Linked DNA regions of Arabidopsis thaliana. The protein of the gene in region 1 interacts with the protein of each later gene in a pairwise test. Each region holds a gene or a part of one and is shown on either strand. Other genes may lie near its edges.

The links.
Region 2: the proteins of SAD1 (region 1) and AT1G54380 interact in a two-hybrid assay, tested with the Arabidopsis thaliana proteins (one large-scale study listed by BioGRID).

What each region holds. Positions count from the first base shown.
Region 1 is NC_003076.8:19,809,072-19,818,844, reverse strand, and holds SAD1 (Small nuclear ribonucleoprotein family protein), read right to left. Parts: upstream 5,500-9,773; 5' UTR 5,439-5,499; coding exon 5,405-5,438; intron 5,289-5,404; coding exon 5,165-5,288; intron 4,739-5,164; coding exon 4,666-4,738; intron 4,519-4,665; coding exon 4,483-4,518; 3' UTR 4,291-4,482; downstream 1-4,290. Other genes in the region: KAT5 (peroxisomal 3-keto-acyl-CoA thiolase 2), read left to right, coding at 1,824-1,922, 2,040-2,104, 2,182-2,266, 2,348-2,474, 2,562-2,660, 2,749-2,822, 2,903-3,010, 3,079-3,156 and 6 more; AT5G48860 (uncharacterized protein), read left to right, coding at 5,980-6,246, 6,934-7,194. UniProt on the Arabidopsis thaliana protein: Component of LSM protein complexes, which are involved in RNA processing. Component of the cytoplasmic LSM1-LSM7 complex which is involved in mRNA degradation by promoting decapping and leading to accurate 5'-3' mRNA decay.
Region 2 is NC_003070.9:20,291,426-20,302,832, forward strand, and holds AT1G54380 (spliceosome protein-like protein), read right to left. Parts: upstream 9,555-11,407; 5' UTR 9,475-9,554; coding exon 8,697-9,474; intron 7,820-8,696; coding exon 7,657-7,819; intron 7,567-7,656; coding exon 7,386-7,566; intron 7,288-7,385; coding exon 6,862-7,287; 3' UTR 6,380-6,861; downstream 1-6,379. Other genes in the region: TAF6B (TBP-ASSOCIATED FACTOR 6B), read left to right, coding at 33-170, 263-358, 455-579, 663-795, 1,006-1,131, 1,236-1,347, 1,437-1,735; NHX5 (sodium hydrogen exchanger 5), read right to left, coding at 1,928-2,015, 2,104-2,225, 2,309-2,392, 2,519-2,628, 2,724-2,821, 2,920-2,939, 3,041-3,116, 3,210-3,307 and 13 more; AT1G54385 (ARM repeat superfamily protein), read right to left, coding at 9,864-10,262, 10,340-11,407.

The DNA.
Region 1 (9,773 bases):
GAGCTACATACAAATTTTCTTTCTTTTCGGTGTATGTATTTTTGTGTTGGTTTTTGTTTTAGGATTCTCATGGCTTTTGAATTGTTTCTAGTTATGCTTCATGTCAAAGCACAATTTCATTTAGGTTTGACAAAGCTAGTCATAGTCATGAAAAATATAGGGAGTATATTAAAGTAGGATTTTGCTCTTCTCCTATTACACAACTTGACATGCTTTTTGATAATCAATATTTATAAATAGACTATTTTATTTAAACTACTCAACAAAAAGACCCAATTTAATTGATTATTATTTAATTATGAAAATAAAAATAGGACTATTATGTTTCTTTTCTTTAATTTTTAAAATTCTGTTTCTAATTTGGGCTGCTTAGTTGAGTAGTAATGTAGAGGACTGTTTTAATTAATTACTGAATTTTTTATTTTAAAAACAATACTATTAGTAATGTAATTTTAAAAATAAAAAATAGTATTGTTTGCATGGAATACTTTGCCTCATAATGGTTTCACTTTGACTATTAGAGAATGGGAAGAAGAACTGTTTGAAGATGTTGAACTGGTTCTTCTTCCTCTTTGTCGGAGTAATCTGAATCGAAATCGACGACAACCTCCATTGAAAAACATATATATATATATGTATAGATTTAAGAGAAACCTAGTAACATATTTAATCAATTCAATATTTGATTTATTGTTTTTAAATAGATAATTAAACATTTTAAAATAGAAAAACAAAACCAGTTCAAAACCTTACTTTATGTAATAAGTTAGATACTTAATAAACAAATAAAAGAAATTAGGTTTGCAAGAAATCTAACATGAATGGAAGGTTAGGTAGGCATAAAAATGAAAGATAAGTAAGGAGGTTGGTAGGAAGAGTGGTGGAGGATCAAAAGAGTATGGCAAAAGAGTTAATTGCCAAATGCAACGTCACTTCTTTCACTCCTCATCTAACTCTCAACACTATTTTTGTATATATAATCTTGAACAATCGGTTATCTCAACATTTGCATATTGTCTACTTTTAGATTTTGATATCTATTGGAACTCTTACTAGCTCATTCATCCGTCGGGTAACTTTCTTGACCTCTCTCCATCTTATCTTTTACGAGTCTTAAAGACTTTACTTATCTAAGAAAATCCGTTTTAGTCTCTCAAAATTGATTTATTAGATGGTATATTCTAGTCACAACAACTATTTTTTGGACGAGAATTTTACAAAATAATTGAAGGATACTTAACTCTTTCTTACTAAACAAAACAACTTAAATCTATATCCGATATGAATTCTTGTGGGTAAAGAATACAAATCATGTATATTATCTGGATATCCAAATTATTCACTAAAATTTTATAAATTATCTCAAATTCTTCTAAATTTGTAAATTACTCAAATTATCAAAATCACTAATACCCAAAATGAGAAGAAACATTTATTGCTTAAAAGTTAGATTCTTCCCACGTGGCCCGGTTTAGTTATAGTTGCCGACGATTAATTTCCGGTCACATTTTTAACGGCGTGAGTTTGTATGTGGCGTAAAACATGTCAAAATGCGATATTTTCGTAACGACGTTAACTTATACAAATACGACAAGACAAGGTTTTGGCAACGAGGCCAATCAGACCAGACTTGTGAGAACTGAGAACGATCGATCAAAAATCTCTCCCACGATAAAAATGAGGACCCTGAAGCTCATTGTACTTAACGTCTTCCCCTTTCCAGAAAAATCAACCAAACCCATTTCAGTTTCCCCGGAAAGTTTTTGTCTTTCAATCACCATTAGAATTCAGCTGCAACACAAGTGTTTGCAACAGAGAGAATCATGGAGAGAGCTATGGAAAGACAAAAGATATTGCTTCGTCATCTCAATCCAGTTTCTTCTTCTAATTCTTCTCTTAAACATGAACCTTCTCTTCTGTCTGTAAGTTTAGTTGTCTTAATCCGTGAGTCTTAATTAGACATTGAAATTGTTTGTGGAAGCTGATGATCTTTAACTCTGTTTTATTATGTGACTCACTTGTGTTTTTGTTAATTTTAGCCTGTGAATTGTGTTTCTGAAGTTTCCCCAATGGCTGCTTTTGGAGATGACATTGTGATTGTAGCGTAAGTATACTCATTGAGTTTGCTTCACTTTCACTTTCTTTAGTTTTCTTTGTTTCTTGATTCTTCTTCTTCTTCAGGGCATATCGTACCGCCATTTGCAAAGCGAGACGTGGAGGTTTCAAAGACACTCTTCCTGATGATCTTCTTGCTTCTGTTCTTAAGGTAAGTCATCAATTAAACCTTGTGCATGCATGGAGTAGTAGTATCAATGATTTCTTATGTTTCATGGTTTGTTCTGATTAGGCTGTAGTGGAAAGAACATCTTTGGATCCAAGTGAAGTTGGTGATATCGTTGTTGGTACCGTGATAGCGCCTGGTTCTCAGAGAGCAATGGAGTGTAGAGTTGCAGCTTATTTTGCTGGTTTTCCTGGTACTAAATCTCATTCAAGAATCAAGATAAACTTAATATCTCACAAGTTGTTGATATGTTTCTTCATCCTTCTCTTTTACGAGCTAGACTCCGTGCCAGTTAGAACTGTCAATAGACAATGCTCATCAGGACTACAAGCAGTTGCTGATGTTGCTGCTTCCATTAGAGCTGGTTATTACGACATTGGTAAGATGCTGCTGCATCAGTTTTTTGTAGTCTCTAGCTGCTTGTATAGGCCATGGGATTGATTCTCTCAACTTTGTGAATTGCATAGGTATTGGTGCTGGAGTGGAATCAATGTCAACTGATCATATTCCTGGAGGCGGCTTTCATGGCTCTAATCCAAGAGTAAGCTATCACAATGAGTGTATAAATTTACTCAACAAGAAGAGTTTTGTGATGATCTTGTAAACTCTACATGGGAATAGGCACAGGATTTCCCAAAAGCCCGTGATTGTTTGCTTCCAATGGGAATTACTTCTGAAAACGTTGCAGAAAGGTTCGGTGTCACAAGAGAAGAGCAAGATATGGCTGCGGTTAGTTAGTTATTCTCTTCACTTTTTTCCTCTCTAGTTCATATAAGTACTGATTCAGTAATAATCAGGTGGAGTCTCACAAACGCGCTGCAGCTGCAATCGCGTCTGGTAAACTCAAGGATGAAATCATTCCTGTTGCTACTAAGGTAAAACAAGAACCTCCCAAACTTCCTTTAAAGCCCTTTTGGTAGAGCTTTCTCAGTAAATGATATTGTTCTTGACAGATTGTGGACCCTGAGACTAAAGCAGAGAAGGCAATCGTCGTATCTGTTGATGACGGTGTACGTCCAAACTCAAACATGGCAGATTTGGCAAAGCTGAAGACTGTCTTTAAACAGAACGGTTCCACCACAGCTGGTTAGAAACAACTCTCTTAACTATCACTGGCATAAGTGAGATCATAGATTGAAGCATTTAAGTATATGTGTTTTGTGTAGGCAATGCTAGTCAGATCAGTGATGGTGCTGGAGCAGTACTGCTAATGAAGAGAAGTTTGGCTATGAAGAAGGGACTTCCCATTCTTGGAGTATTCAGGTAAAATGAATATACAACATTTTGCCAGTTCAAGAAACCGAGCAAATCTGATTCCGGAACAATGCAGGAGTTTTGCTGTTACTGGTGTGGAACCATCTGTAATGGGTATTGGTCCAGCTGTTGCCATTCCCGCTGCAACTAAGCTCGCAGGGCTCAACGTCAGCGATATTGATCTATTCGAGATCAATGAGGTAACAAAATATTTCACATTGGTTTTTTTCCTGTTTCGGAATAATACATACATATAAATCTTTATTGTTGCATTGTTAAACAGGCATTTGCATCTCAGTATGTGTACTCTTGCAAGAAGTTAGAGCTGGATATGGAAAAGGTCAATGTTAATGGAGGAGCCATTGCTATTGGCCATCCCCTGGGTGCTACAGGTTACTACTTACCAAGCTTGTCGTAACTAAATAAAATGCAACATTTGTTACAGGCTAATAGAGTTCTTTTCTATATGTTCAGGAGCTCGATGTGTTGCGACATTGTTGCACGAGATGAAGCGGAGAGGAAAAGATTGCCGCTTTGGAGTAATCTCAATGTGCATAGGTATATATATAAGATTTTTTTTCAGATTGAATTGGATCAATGATTACCTATGTTAATGGTATATGTAAAATGCGAACGTCACAGGCACTGGAATGGGAGCTGCAGCTGTTTTTGAGAGGGGAGACTCTGTTGATAACTTGTCCAACGCTCGTGTGGCTAACGGGGATAGTCATTAGAACATCGAAGAGAGCTTGAATAAGTAGAAGTAATGATGCATTGAGTCTAATAAATATGATGCTTTAGCTCTTTCACATTGCTGAACAATGAAAACTTTTGTCATTCTGAGTTTAAAATCAACTACTTTTCTCTGAACAAAGTGTTAAATCTAAAACCAAAAGTTACATCCTTCCTCACACAAGTCTGAAAACACCAATCAAATCTCGCAAATCTCATTCTCCATCTTCGGGAGACCCACCTGGCACCAGCTGCATCACAAACATTTTCAACACCAGTTTCTTAGCAATTTGACTATTCAAATGACCAACTGTTTATATCAAGATACTTGAAAATTCATCACAAGGAAGTTTATACAACGTATGGCTATGAGTAACCACAAGTGTTTTTTTACTTACAATGGCGATGTTGTTGCCATTGAGTAGAATCTGATCAAGCTTTGTGACCCGTCTTCCTTCTGCCGTAATCTCACTACACAACGATGCTTAGATAAATTAGTAACACACTCTAGTTACAATTCAATCAAGAATTTGTTACAATCAAAACTTGAATCTATGAGATCCTAACTCCAAAGCAACACGGGTTTAAGCATCAATTAACTAATCCTCACACAACCACAAACAACTCAAGTCACCGAAACCACATATGACCCCGCTGAAATAGACTCTATGCATACACAATAAATGTCATTAATCAGCAAATGAATGAACTGTGATGGACATTCACAAATCAGTATTGAGATCAATTACCCAAAAACAAAATCCAAAAGGCTAAGTTCTGCATAATCACATCCATGGTTCAATGTCTATGATTCACCTCCTAAAGTGTAATAGATCAAGCAACATTCCAATTAAACAAGATATGAAGCAATAATCGAAACCCTAAAATCAGACTTACTATTCGGTGACATCTTCAAGAACCATGTTGACATAAACATCGAATCCTTTGAGAATACCAACGAGCTCCTTATCTCCTTTCATTATCACCCAAATCTTAGACCCTATACACCTATCGATTAGCTCTGCACAAACAAACCAAATCGCTCAAAAATTGAAAACCAAAAAATCGCAGATCTAGTTCGATTTTCTTACATATAAGAAGGTGGAAAGTGAGAGATGTGAAGAAAAAATTGCATACCTGAAGGAAGAAGCTGTGAAGGATTGTTCGCCATGACGAAGAACAGTGAGGCAAGTGAAGGGTTTTTGAATTTTCTCTGATTTTTCTTGCTCCGAAGCTTTTTCTGATTTTTCGATTTTTAGGGTATTAATGTTTTACTTTTAGGAAATTTACAAGAGAACCCTCAAACTATCTTTTTGTTTCAAGATTGACTTTTAACTATGGAAAACTTAATATATAAACCTTCAATCTAATTAGAATATTAAGGATAAATAATCACGTCTCAAATCCCTACATTACTAGTACGGAAGTACCTTTCAAATAGTAATATTGGCTTTTGTAAGATATTATGTTACAATGTCATTGGAAAAAACTGTAACCACCTAATTCACTTTACTTTAGTTATAAGGTCAATTTACTTTCGAATTTAATTATGCTAATCTTGAATCATGGATCCATTATACGGATCTATGAAATTTTCTTGTTTCTTCCAAACATAGGTCTACTGAGATTTTATTATTTCTTTGAACGATTGATCTGTAGTAGAGTTATCAAAATGGACGAGTGGCCCGTGTCCAACGCCTAATGGACCGGGCATGGACAAGCCCATTATGAAGCAGGCATTAATGGACATGGGCGTTAACGGACATGGGCATCAGCGGACTGGACGTGATGGACATGGGCGGCCCAATGGTCAAAAAATATTAGGTTTAAGTGTTCGGGCAAAAATAAATTTGGGGAAAAAACATTTCCCCGACGCTTATTTGGCGATTTCTTCTTTCCGGCGATTTCTCCGGCGAGTTCCTTCAACATCTCAACTCCATCACATCATGGATCCTCCTGAGATTCCTAATCCAGTTCAAGTAAGCAAATTCTCGTCATTTTTACTCAATTCGATCTGGGTTTTTGATTACTCAATTCGAAATGATTTTTTGTTACTGTTTTTTGCTTATTGAGAGTGATTTTGACATGGGTCTCTTTCGATTTCTGTTACTATTGTTTGATATAGTGTTCATTGTCTGCATTATGCATAGTATGAACTATGAAGCTTGGTCCTTTGACACCGTGTATTCATGAAACTGCAAATATCAAAAGCTTAGCTCACTAATATGAGTTACTTAAACAGAAAAAAGAATTGGTAGTAAGCACAAAATGGAATTCTACACATCTAATGCTCTCTAGAGCGATTATTTACAAAGAAACATTCAAGCATCTTGCTGAAGCAAATACTATTGTGTTAAAATTTGGTTTTGTTATGCCTATTGGACAACCCATTTGGACATGGACATTAATGGGCACGGGCGTTAATGGACATGTGCCTTAGTGGACATGAACACTATTTGTCCAATATCGAAATGGACATTATTGGACTGGGCTAATGGACATGGACAGCCCGCTGTGACAGCTCTAATCTGTAGCAATCCATGTGCAAAGCTACATCCAAGATTAGCAAAATTAATTGTTAAATACACATTACCAGAAGAATTGAAAAGAAAGTATATAGTTAAGATACCATTTGTATCATTAGATATTCAATCTCGTTGTTGTAGTCATATACTTGGAAGCTTAGAGGATCGAAAAACAAGGTGCAACACATGTTAATGAGGATAGGAACTTATCAAAGATCCTTGCAAGAAGGTATGGAAGTCGTGCTTTACATTATTTCTATAAAGAACAATGTCCATATCTTCTCAGCTACGAGGTATCCGAGAGTAAGGCGAATAAGAAAACATGTTTCAACCAAATCAAGAAACATTTTTCCAGTCAAATTCAAATCAAGAACTCTGTTTTCAGCCAAATCTAAATCATGATCATGTTTTTGTTTTGTGTAGAGAAGACGTTAGGCGTAAGAACACACAAAAACATTAGCATGAAATTATGTGATGTAGTCAGGACCGGCTCAAACATTTTGTAGATCCAGTGCTATTATGTAATCATATCATGTTTTTTTTTTTTTGGACCCTAGACCATATGTCCTAGCACCTTAAGCACATGTGCTAAGCCGGCACTAGATGTAGTTGTAATATTTTATATAAAAAATGTAACATTTTTTTAATCTTCTATGCTTTTTAGTTAACTCAAAATAATCTAACATACCCGTAATTTTTGAAAACAAAAAAAGAATTGTTCAGCATACTTTTGAATGAGTAACCAAAACTCATGCATGATATCACATATGTTTAATAGTGGGCCATATAGACTGCTTCACAAACACCACTTTTAAGTCTTTAGCAAGCTTTCTCCGTTATTATCTTCACGATTGTGTACCCAAAATTGATATGATTCATAAAATGTTGTTGACTTGTTGAGTTCATAAATTCAACCCAAAAGTAAATGAAGAACAATGGACAACAAAAAGAAAGTAATTGTGGAAGATAATTGGTTAAATTAATTCAAATGTCGGTTCTTGCCTTCTTGGTATAGAGGGATTATTCAACTAGTTAGGATCGATTTCAAAATTTATGGAGATAGAAACAATGACAGTTTATATATGTATGTTCTCAAGACAATATTCTATTAAGACCGGCTTTGCACCTAAACAGAATAAATAGATGTAATACGAAATAAATCGAACGAGTGATTTATATGCAAGCATGAACCCATACTCTAAGGAATGAATTAATCAATGGTTCTTATTTTTAATCATGTTAGTTAGATGCAAACCAAATCAATCTTGAATAATGCTGATAAACCGTCTTAATTCATGCGATGTCTCCACTAGTCTCGGATTTCTATAAAATATTCAATATTGACTTATAGCTAAGTCTCAAGTCCGTAGAATTATTGTATATTTTTGTATTCCCCGAAAACACTATTTGCCTTATTGCTTTGTGGTCCAAAATGTTTATCAGTGAGCGGCAAGTCTTGTAAACTAGTGAATAATGCCTCGCAAATTGTCCAGATTCATTGTGTTTTGGCTTATTATTGTATATGCCACAAAACGACTGAGAGTGACGATGATTCGCTACGTTTTTTTTTCTATAATAAAGTTTATAATTATTGATGTGGTTACCACTTAGATATTAAAATCAATTATATCCTTTTCAATGATTCTAATGACGATTGGATAATTAAATTTAGATAATGCTTTTTTGTTTGCTACTTTTTTCTTTTGTAATGAAGATTGAAATGCTTTGCACTAGTTGGGATCGAATCTGCTTATAGTATAGTACTTATATTCCCACAGTACATCCCCGACTTCTTTTTAATGGTATTTGCAACTGATCATGTGTACAAGAATGGACTGATTAATCTCTGAAACATGAATTATAATTTAAGCTAAGAAAAGTAAAGAAAGTACCTAAAATAGATAGTAAAACCTTATAAACATAAATCTAGATACTACTTTAACTGATAAACTTTTTTCTGTGAGGCCATTTTTTCTAATGGATACTAAAATTTATTATGTGCAATTGAATAAAATCTGAATATCACTACAAAAGAAAAAAAAAATGAACAATGGATTGACTAGTAAAACATTTGAATGATTAGTTATTCACTATATATGTAAAGGATGATGTTTGTGATGGTACTATCCAAATTGACAAAAAAAAAAAATCAAAGATATTTCGTCCAAAATAAATTTATGCGACGAGCTGACCTAAGTAATGACTTGTGGTCCGAATCCTTTTCTGTATAGTGTCTTCTGCTAATTATAGGCAAAGAGCTGATATACGCTTCTCTTTGTCTCTCTTGCGATTTCTCCTTTTTATCTTTTCGAATCTATCAGGTTGGGCCAAACTAAAATGGACCGAGCTAAAATATTACTAGACTAAGCCACTGTTATGTTGAGTTGAACCATCTTTATTTGGGTCGAGCCGTTGTCTTAATGGGCCGATGTTCTAATGGACCGTTTTACCATATTAGCAGCTTGTTTGACTTAGTTAATCTTTGTTTGGCCGAATTAGGCATGGAAAACAAAACAAGTATTACATACTAACTATCACAAAACATATCGTAAAAAAGATTATATATTTTTTCATGCAGATTTTTACTATAAAATTTAAAATTAAATGTAATGTATTAATTATAATTAAACTACAATAAATAGAAGTTAAAACAAATATTAGAAAAACTGAAAAGTATTGACTTAAAAATAATATTGTCATTTAATTTGTTCGTCAGATACTCAGATCTTGAGCCATCATGGGCTGTTGAATCTTGAGCCACCTTGAGTTTCTAAAGCTGGTTGTGGCACCATGTGATCCACCTCCCCATGATGTCATTGGAAGCAATTCGCAATCATAAAATGGTATTATTGTCTAGTTTACCATTTTTTGATATTTTGTTTTAAAAATGTCATTTTTACTAAAATTTTACGTATTTATTATTTTTAATATTTAAAAATATACGTATGTACGATATTTTTTTCGCAAAATACATATTGTAT
Region 2 (11,407 bases), on another chromosome or scaffold:
TGCTATATAATCCTTGCTTGCTCTCGATGCAGATTTACTTTGACAAAGTCACGGAGTGGGCTTTGACTCAATCTGGCTCCACCCTCTTTAGACAAGCACTCGCCAGCTTGGAAATTGATCCTGGACTCCACCCATTAGTTCCCTTTTTCACTTCTTTCATCGCTGAAGAGGTTTGTCTTTGTAATCCAACACTTCTAGTCTTGACTTTTATTCTAACTTGACCACATTTTCACTACTTTTTTTGTGCTTGCAATTTCTCCAGATTGTCAAAAACATGGATAATTATCCAATCTTGTTGGCTTTGATGCGTCTTGCTAGAAGCCTCCTTCATAACCCTCATGTACATATTGAGCCATATGTAAGTTTTGTGCGCACACTTTTTTTTTGTTTTTTTTTGTTTCTCTTCTCCCTTCTCCTCCTTCTGTTGACTTTTAACTTGTTGTATTCTGTTCAGCTGCATCAGTTGATGCCGTCTATTATCACTTGCCTTATTGCCAAGCGCTTAGGAAGAAGGTCATCTGATAATCACTGGGACTTGAGAAACTTCACTGCCAGCACAGTTGCTTCAACGTGCAAAAGGTTAATGTTACATTCTTGCTTTGTGATTTCATGCATCTTATACAACCATATAACTTGCAATCACATTAGTGAACTTTTTACAGGTTTGGACACGTTTATCACAATTTGTTGCCACGTGTCACAAGATCACTGCTTCATACCTTTTTGGACCCAACCAAGGCACTCCCACAACACTATGGGGCAATTCAAGGGATGGTAGCCCTTGGGCTTAATATGGTACTTCCTCTTGATGCTTCTTGATTATCATAACGAAGAGTAGCACTTTAGGTTGTGCGTCTAGAATTTTTACATAAGAAAGCATAAGTTTAAAACTAATAGTAGCATGATCCGACATCCTCGATAAAGTTATTAAACCTGCAATTGAACCTTAAGATATATATCCTTTGGTCGTCCGTAAGTATTTTCTTGCTTTATACCTTTGTCTAGGTTCGCTTTCTTGTTCTCCCAAACCTAGGGCCGTATTTGCTGCTTCTTTTACCTGAAATGGGACTTGAGAAGCAGAAGGAAGAAGCTAAGAGGCATGGGGCTTGGCTTGTTTATGGAGCGTTGATGGTGAGTATGCTTTCTAGTTTGATACAGAAATTAGAAAACTTGTTTGCTTTCAATCTCGTGTTGCAAAACAGGCAGGAGAGCATATAAACTTTAACTTTCCATAGGTGGCAGCTGGTCGATGCCTATATGAACGGCTTAAAACATCTGAGACACTGCTGTCTCCTCCAACTAGCTCTGTCTGGAAGACAAATGGAAAGCTCACCAGCCCCAGGCAAAGTATAAAATCTGGTCTCATTCTTTTTTTTTCTTTTGGCGTTCTAAACACGGAGATACGCGTTCTTAAATAATTTTTTTCTTCGGCCAAGGTAAACGCAAAGCAAGCAGTGACAACTTAACTCATCAACCACCACTGAAGAAGATAGCAGTAGGGGGAATTATACAAATGAGCTCCACACAAATGCAGATGCGCGGAACCACAACAGTCCCTCAACAGTCCCACACAGATGCAGATGCACGGCACCACAATAGTCCCTCAACAATTGCTCCGAAGACTTCAGCTGCTGCAGGCACTGACGTCGACAACTATCTCTTTCCTCTTTTTGAGTATTTTGGTGAGAGCATGCTTATGTTCACCCCCACACATGAGCTCAGTTTCTTCTTGTAATAGATTATTGACATGGTAATTGTATGTACCACAATAAATACATCTATATAATATTTCGAAATGTCTTGGAAATCGTCAACTTTATAGTGGGCATTTTGCGAGAGGTAAAATCAACCAGTGTTAATCTTACATAGACATATGTGTACTCTAATTATAGCTTGGCCTGGACCACAAATACACATCTTTTCCATGCTACTCCCCATCTCCATCTCCATCTCCACTATTAGTTGTGAAGAACGGAGTCAGAAAGTTTTTGTCCAACGCGGTGAATGATGTAGTGCTGCAAAGTTTTGTCAAGTGAGTCCCAAAAAATTGCAAATATCGCTTTTTACTCAGGAAAACATACTAAGCCATTCTCTTATTCTTACGTTTTGTGAAACTCCTTCAGCTTCATCTTGAACCTGCTTCCTGATGATGATGTATCCTCGTCAGATGAAGCTCCAATGCTAAAAGGAGGAGGGACATACTGATGATCGCTCTCTTCAAAGCCCTAACCACGTATCTGGGAGCGTTAGAAAAAGTACATACACAACTTTACTTCAAAGATATTAGAGTAGATCGTCGAGAGTTTACTTCAGACATGGAGTCATCAAGATCGTCACCTACAACTTCCAAAGCTTCCAACATTTTACCTGTCGAACCTCCTATTAGTAAAACCTGAAATATTACTGCAATGGATAAGAAACGCAGCCTATGTATTATTCTCCAACTCTCGCTGATTCTTATGTATACTACCACTGGAAATAACATAGATGCTTTTCATGGAGAGAATACGAAAGTTACCGTGACAACAACAATAGTTGTGGTTGCAGTAAAGATGATTTGGCCGTGACCCTCTGGTAGATCATGAAGTGATTGAAGTGCAAGTGCAAATGCCATTGCCCCTCGAAGTCCTATCGATGTGCCAATATGTGTACAAGTTTTAATAGTTTGTAGATATAAAAATGGGCATCAGGAGACAAGAACAAAAGCTATTAGCTCAACTCACCACTATACCAAAGGGCTTTTTGGTGCTTCATAGGTATCTTCTGGTTCTCCTGTCTAAATAGGTTGACCAAATATGCACACCCAAATACATTGACAGCCCTGCGTGAGAAAAGCATTGCAGAACATATAGGTAAATCCGAATCGAAAACCATGGTGATAATGAAGCGATCAGCCAGGATAAAAAAGCATTTAGTCACCTAGCCACGCCAATAAACAACTGATGTCAGTCATGAAACGCAGAAGCAAAAGGTAAAGTCAAGGATTTACAACACTGACTAACACTGCATACAATCACTGACGATCAGTAAATGAGGATACAATAGAGAAAAGGATAAACCCAACATGGGACCAGCTATGCTGCTCCATGGCAATATCAAATCCCATGTAAATGAACCTAGAAAAGCATTAAACAAATCAATATCAATCTAATAGAACTTTAAGCGTAGAAATTGTTATCCAACAATGGATGTTATTGCTCTGGACTCACGTGAAAGTTTCTGCTAGCGAAGATATCAAGTGAAAAAAAGAAGATACGAAACTCTGTGAAGCTTCTGAGAGATTTGAGAAAGTGTAGCGCTTCATAACCTACAGTAGCACTATATTAGGCAGCCTAAATATGTCTTTCCAAGATATTAACATCAACTAAGATGTAAAAGCTACAATGACTCGGCGATTACAATTCCTGTGAAGAGTATAGAAACAATGCCGGAGAGACCAACACCTTCTGCAAGCATGTATCTTACAGAATAACCAGAATACATTAGGGGGAAGAAGTGTTGTCATAAATACGAAGAGACAGGAGGAGAGTTGTTTTGTCTACTTACGAAAAATACGGGAAAAGTACAAAGAGACAACACTCCAAGTTCTGAAGACTGAGGTAGAGAAAAGAGAAAACAGAGACATTACATTTACAATATGTTCAGAGAGTATTAACAATGTAAATACAACAGTATAGAAAGAGTTAAGAAAAGATATGGCACTTACTTCTCGGTGTCCAATCCTGCATACTTAAAGAGGTGTTCTGAGTTAAGATTTTACAATACATTTTTGGCCATGTGACATCTAATAAGAAAAATAGAGGATTCGAGGAAGGATATTAAAGCTGAAGTGAATCCAACCCCAACCCCTGCAGAATAATATTAAGACTGTTAGTATGTTTAAGCAATATATGAAGTCGATGAAGGAATCGGTTAGAAGCTATTGGCAGAACTATTTATTCTGGGAGAAAAGAAAACGAAGAAAATAACAGGTCTTATATATATAGAAAAAAATCAGGTCTTATATATGTAGATGTATATGTGACTGTGAAGGACTTTAAAAGAAAAAGATTCCCTGATTCAAAGGGTAACTAATACGACCGTTTCAGTTCAAGTTAATTATTGCTTATTTTGGTTCTATGAATCTTCACAAAGAAACCTAGTCGACTAGTCTTTTGTTCATTGTTTAGATAATAGTGCGTCTAGTTTGGTAGGAGGGACTTTGATGAGACTAATATTGTTATAAAAACTGTGATGAAGGATCAAGAAGGAATAAGAGCAAACAGACCTGCAGACATTGAGCCAGCAAAAGTCTCAAAAAACCTGATCACCACCATGAAAAAATGTTCCCCAGACGAGGACTGGCGGTTTACTAAGGACATTGTTCTGCATCGAAAGTTTTTATATTGTACTTTAATACTTTGCTTAAAAGGTATCTAAAAGGAAAAGAATCATGTGATATACAGACCTGTACAATGATATTGCCATCTACGAGGCGCACCACATACACGAAAACCCATTTGATGGAGTTAGTGAGTGTTGTGGTTTTTCGTTTGCATATATACTTAAAAGGAAGAGCCCAATATCGCAGCAGATAATAAAAACTCACAGCATCATTCAGAACTGATTCTCCAAAGACCAAAGCATACAGGTTAACATCGGTGCCCACATCCTGCCATCAAATAAATGTTCATCACAATGCAAGGCATCATTTTAGGGAAAATACATGCGAATACTTGTATCCTGTGGAAACTGATAGTAAAAGGAAAAGCAGAAGCACCTGGAATATAGAGAGTACAGTGACAGGGTCCGTAGCTGATATAAGTGCACCAAACATAAGACACTCAACAAAGGGAAGTTTATACATGAGATACATAGAGCCGCCAAGATAACTGCAAAAAAGGCGGGAAAAACAGATAAGGTAGAAGCAAAACAAAGAAGCTAAGAAAGAAGAGGGTGATGATCCCTACACCAGACCACCAGTAACAACTGAAGCGACAAAAGTTCCGATGATAGCAAAGGTAACAATGGCTCCAAAGTTAGAAAAGAATGGTTTCTGCATCCATACAAAAATGATCTTAGCTACTGTTCAAGTCAGCTATTGTGGAAGAAAGAAAGATAAGCACTTACAGGTTGAAGACTGAAACCTGACTGGGTTCAAACAAATGAATGATGTCAAGGAAAATGACATCCATTATACATAGCATAGCAGCAGCGAATTTGAAGGATGAAATGCAGATATTGAAGCAAAGGATATAATATGATGGGAGGCAACAAAAACAAGAAGAAGAACTCTTCGTGGAAATTAAACCACGTCCTGATACAGAGTAGAAAGAACAAACCAGTGAGCGAGGAAACGATAAAAGGGAAAACTCAGGGATACTTGGAGGAGGGCAAAACCTAATGCTAGTCTCAGTATCGGAGATATTAGCAAGTATACCGACGATTAAACCTGAAAATTACGACGGAAGAAGAAGCTAGGGATAAGAGAAATCAAAGAGAGAGAGAGCAAAAGCCAAAGGAAGAGAGAAAGGATTATACCAATGAGAAGCGAACCGCTGGCTTCAGGAAGATAGTGGAATCGATGACGGCGGAGGACATGGCCGAGAACGAAGGAAAGCACGAGCATCATAATCTGAAGCAGTATACCAACGCCGGCCGCTTGCTGCTGCTTAACCTGGCCCTGAGGGTCGTGCTCCACCGGAGAAATCATCACTTCCTCCATTCAGATTTGAGATTGGACCACCCAACGACCTTGAGAGTTGAGACTTTGGGGAACAAGAGTCAAACCGCAAATACGCCGTCGTTTTATCGTCACCATGTCTCTCTGTGTGTTTAAGAGGATTTTTGAGTTTTTACTGGTACACGGATATGAATCACAGGACAACCAACATACAATGTAACATCTTGAAATCAATAGACGAGAGTGAAACCAATGTCCACCAAACTGAGCATTATACAACATTATTAGACCAGTAGATAATAACATAATCACAGTTAATTTTTCTTATAAGCAATAGCTTAAATAATGCATAGGTTCTTCAGGCCGGCTGCAGTATGTAGTAAGATTATCTACTTATTGGTCTGAATGCGTTAAACTAAATTAATCTAATAATTACATGTCTTTTAAGTACTAGTATTTTCTTGGATGAGTAATTCAAACTGCTATTTTTTCTGTCATCAGTAATTCAAATTGGTTATCATCTAAATTATAAAACAAAATATTTCTGTTATGATAAAATATGATTATCTATTAAATTATTAATAATTAAGATAGAACTAACATACTCGTACAAACTAATTCTGTAACCAAAAATATTAAAATTCGCAAATATTATTTGAAACATCTGTTTATAAAAGTAATTTCATATTACCATGTCAAAAACAAAAAGAACATTGTTTTGGGAACTGCAAAATTACATATGTTTCGAAGTATATTACATATGTATTACATGTTTTTCTTTATTCTTTTTTTCTTTGTAACAATAATATCAAAGATTGCATCCAAACGTAGTATCTGACTACTATTTGGTGCAATATCCAAACGAAGAAGAAACAAAGAGCACTTAAACTGAATTGTAACAAATTGAAACCACTACAGCAACGTAGTTCTTGTAATTTCCTTCAACAATGACAATGATAGAACTCGGTATGATAAGAAGACTCTATCTAGCCGATCCACGGAAGTTGTGAAGATCTCAATAACCTCAACAAGATCCCAAAAAAAAAGAGCTTACTTCGCACAAATACGATGATTCCGAACATCACAGATGACATAACAAAGGGGACACTACAAAAAATGGCATTAAAGCTCATGTAAGATTCAAAAGCACATATGAGAGAAAAGTAAGGGCATGTCATGTCCACTCTCTTCTTCACTTATTACTGTCCCATTTGGCCAAAGTATCTGCCGGCGATGGTGATGAGCATATTTGCCATGGTGATAACTTCTTCATCTCCAACCTCTAATGATGTCTCTGCACGAACACTAGCACACTTCCTCAGAAGACCCCTTAGACAAGCACAAGTATCGGCATCCAAAGGAGTCTCCAATGATGCACACAACGCTACTACCCATTTGCAATCGCTACTCTGTAAACCGCTCTCCTTCTCAACCAAACATATACGCTTTTTCAGCTTTGATACCCGCGTCACCGAGTCCATTCCTTGTATGTCTGTTACCACCTCACCAAAAGACTCATCCTCCTCTGTGTGGAGATGCTTATTGAACATCTCCACAAGCAAATCTTCTACACACTGACTTGATATTATCTCATCCTCACAGCTGTTGGCACTTTGTGTTAGAGTCTGTAAAAATAACAACACTTACTTTCATTTTCGTCTATTAAGAGAGAGACTGCTATTAACCAACCATGTAAGTCAGATGAAATATCAGGAAAAAATACCTGGCGAAGGTGTACAAAGTCCAAAAGCAACGAGTCCTCCCATTCCTTCATGGGTAACAGGTACTCTGGACATTTGGGGATTTCAGGAATTAGTGGCATATAAACACTTTGCTCTTTCTTTATGTACGTGCTTTCATCTATCTTGGCTACTCTTACATTCGGAATTCCCTTAGCCTCCCACCTAAATTGAGGAAACAAAACAACTTAACCATAATACCAAAAGTTTAAAAGTGTAAAGACACAGAAAGATGGAAACAGAGAGATAATATACCTGACTCGTCTTAAATATTCAAGCCCATCTTCTGGTGGTCCAGTACTAAAATCAGGTTCTCCATCTACTTCAAACGCAGGTCTCAAAATGCTATTGTAATCATCATTATCGTCAGTGTAGTCTTCAGGGTCCTCCGTTCCTTCTTCAGTCCCCAAATTTTCTTCTGAAGAAATAATCATACAAGGTAAGTAACAGGAACAAACAAAAGGATTTCTAAACACAACAGAAATGAGCGTGCATAGAAACAGAGAAGAAATAAGTCCATCAAAATACATAATAACTTTAAGGTTCTGAGTGTGAATGCACTATTTTTATTGAAAATGTATGAACATGTACAACTTTAGCCAAAGACTAATGGCCCTATATAATTTGAACCAAAAGAAACTCCTATGTCCTTTATAACCTGAACAAAACAATCTATATACAGAATGAATGTATGAGGTATTAGGCTGTTAGCTCATAGAAAAAAGAAAGAAAAAAAGGGACTTGTATTGTGTCTAAGAAACGAGAAAATTGGTGAAAAATGGACTTTGACAAATCTCTTCAGCTGACAGCTCAATGTACAAATATATTCACACAGTTACGTCTTGGTACAGCAGATATGGGACCTGTGGAAAAGAAAATAAGAGGCCCCTATCAAAACGACAAGTTATGTACTCGAACTGACGGAAGAATTAAAAATGAAGAACAGATCAAGAAACACGAAAAGAGCTCTCGAGCAGGAAAACAGACAGACATCCAAACCATGAAAAAGATGCTTAGCAACAAGAAACCATTGAAGTTGTTTAATAGGAAAAACCACTGCCGAAACTCACTGATACTAAAGCAGACTGGATTTGTATGTGATGACCCATTTGAGAAAGAAAACACCACAAAACCCGGAAAAGTGCAACATATTTACTCCTATTTCTTAGACCTATCTATCTAAATTTGATACACCTAAAGTTATTCTCAACCAACAACAAGAAAAACAAAACAGTCAGGTGAAGAATGCAAGGAATAAGAGACAAACAAAGCATCTGCGAGGTTATCGAGATTACCATTGCCACTCTCCGTTCGCCCACGAACACGATTAGACTTTGAACTCTTGTAATTCTTCACATAAACTAAACTTTCATACTCAGTCACCACCTCAGGTAGAATCCTAGAATACATCTCACTCCACAGGTTCTTCTGATTCACAATGTGGGCAAACCTCATTGACTCCAATTGTTTCCTAGTGTACAATCTCCTAAACTGCTTCCCATTGTTTTCTACTCCACTCCCCTCAATAACATTTCTCTTATCTCCAATTTTCTTAAGCTTTCTAGGTGTATCCTTCTCATTTTGAGCAGTCCCTGGTCTCTTAGGATGATGAACAACATCAACCAACGCAGTATGATCAACCAATTCAATCTTATCAACATCATTATCCATCGTCTCTTCGATCTTAGGCAACGTATCCACATCAACACTCTTCCTAAAGATTGACCCAAGTTCGATTTCAGCCAGCAATCTTCTCTTCTCTGCTTCCAATAGTCTCTGAGCTTCAGATTCTTGTTCCTTCTCCTCAAAATTCAAACTTTCTTCAAGGGCTCCATCAACTCGATATTGCTCACTTCCTTTAGAGAAGGATGATTCCTTTATCTCTTGCAGATCCCTATTGTTTACAGAGACGGCTCCATCTTCCATAGTTATTGCATCGTTTTGCGAGGAAGAAGCTTGTGGATCTATCTCAGAGTTCAGTTGCTTCTTAAAGTCGCTCTCTTTTTCTAATCCATCCCCAGAAATTGAGGTTTTCGCCGGAGTACAGTGGTCGGAATCGGAGTTTGTCATCATGAGGCGGATGTGCGCAAAACCCTTAACGAGTGAATAAATTGTTCCTTTTCTCGAAGCTAATAAATTGCTCGAACCGGTTTGATTAAACCGGAAAAAATTATCAACCTTGAACCGGTTCTATGTATAAATATAGCCAATGTGTTCTCATCCCGGATTATACCGGATCCGCATATCTGCTAATTCCACACACCATTCTCTTTTGAAGCCTTTTGTACTAACATCGTTTATATTCTTAACATTTCCATACAAAACAAAATGAGAACAACAAGTAGAAGAAGATTCTACTACATCTTGTATCAAGTTCATTACAAACAACTAACACGTAATTAAATAGCTAAACTACTCTCTCTGCTACACTACGATTAAACTTAACACCAATAAGAGGTGAATCATGTAGGGACAGTGTAGTAACCAACATCATCATCTTGATTCACCATCAATATCACAGTTGCGAAGAGAGCCACCACAACAAAAGATATCGCAATAACGAGTTTGGCATAGCTCATCTTCTTCTTCTTCTTCTTACCGGTTATCATCTGTGTTTGAGCTGTGTCTTCACTAACTGTGATAGTTGATGACATTGTTTCCACCATGGTTGGAAATTGCTTTCTGAGTTTAGGATTCTTGCGAGATCCTATGGTTTTCTCTCTCTCGCCTCTCAGTATTGGACTTTGGATGTCTGAATGATCTAAATCAACATCATCAGGATATTGAAGAGAGCTGATTAGCTTCCGTGGAGTGCTGAAGATGTTGAAATCTTCAGCATTGATGCGACGTGAACGCTGTCTCTGTGTATCAGAAAAGTCAGAAATGTTTAACATAAATGAAACTAACAAACATACAACAAAGATGGATTGATGTTCACCTGAGGACTAGGAGTGGTGTTTCTCAAACTTTCCATTAGAAACCCTTCAAATTCATCTCCATTTTCACAAGTATCATACGGTACAAGAGGTGAATCAGAGACAGTGGTGCTTCCTTTAGTTACACGGGAGAAAAGACCATCCTTTAAAGAGATATCAACCACTCCTCCATTCTCATCACGTCTCCAAAGTTTGCGGTTCACACTCCTCCGATCAAATTCAGAGTTACAAGAAGTATGAGAAATAGGCGAGGACTCAACCGGAGAATCATACCCGCTAAAAGAGCCTAGAGTCTGTGATTCAGGTGATAAGGAGTAATCAGGAACAATGGACGAACAGTTTCTTCGACTGAAATTCGAACCAGTAACAGAACGACAACCTTTCTCCATCTTCGACTCGAGCTCTGCCGCTATTCTTTTTGAAGTCATCATTGCTTCATAAGCAGCTCCTCTAACATAAGCCATTTGGTCAGATTGACACCTCTCCATTTCTTTTATTATCAACTCAACTTCCGAGTATATGCTTCTCGGATCCAAGCACTTCATAAGGAAGTTCAACATTTGGACTGCTGATAATCGTTTCTGCGAGTTTCCTTCAGATACTCCAAATCCTAGAATTCGCAACCCCGTGTGTATCAGCAACCTTGCATAAGCTTCAACAATCAAAGGATTATGCTTGGCAAGTGACATAACCAAACCCATTTGAAGATGTGTTTGGTTGGAGTTTGAGTCCAACGCAACTACCACATTTTGACAAACCCTGTTCACCATCTCATCCGAAGCAAACCGCCAATTGTCACTATCCACAAGAGCCTTCAAACACAAAGCAGCCCCTGAAGTAAGGCTCTCTTGAGAGGCCAATAGAGAATCCGTAAGAGGCTTACACAAAGAGTGGATTATAACTCGTTTCTTGTCTTCTGTAGTAGTCGGATCGATCCCATATCGAGCAATCGCCGGAATAACTTTCGAACACGCTTGTTGAAGAGGGAAAGAACCAGCACTAGAAGCCAAAGTCTTGACAATAGTGGACATGATTGTATCAATCTGAGGCACAATGTTAGGTCCATGAAC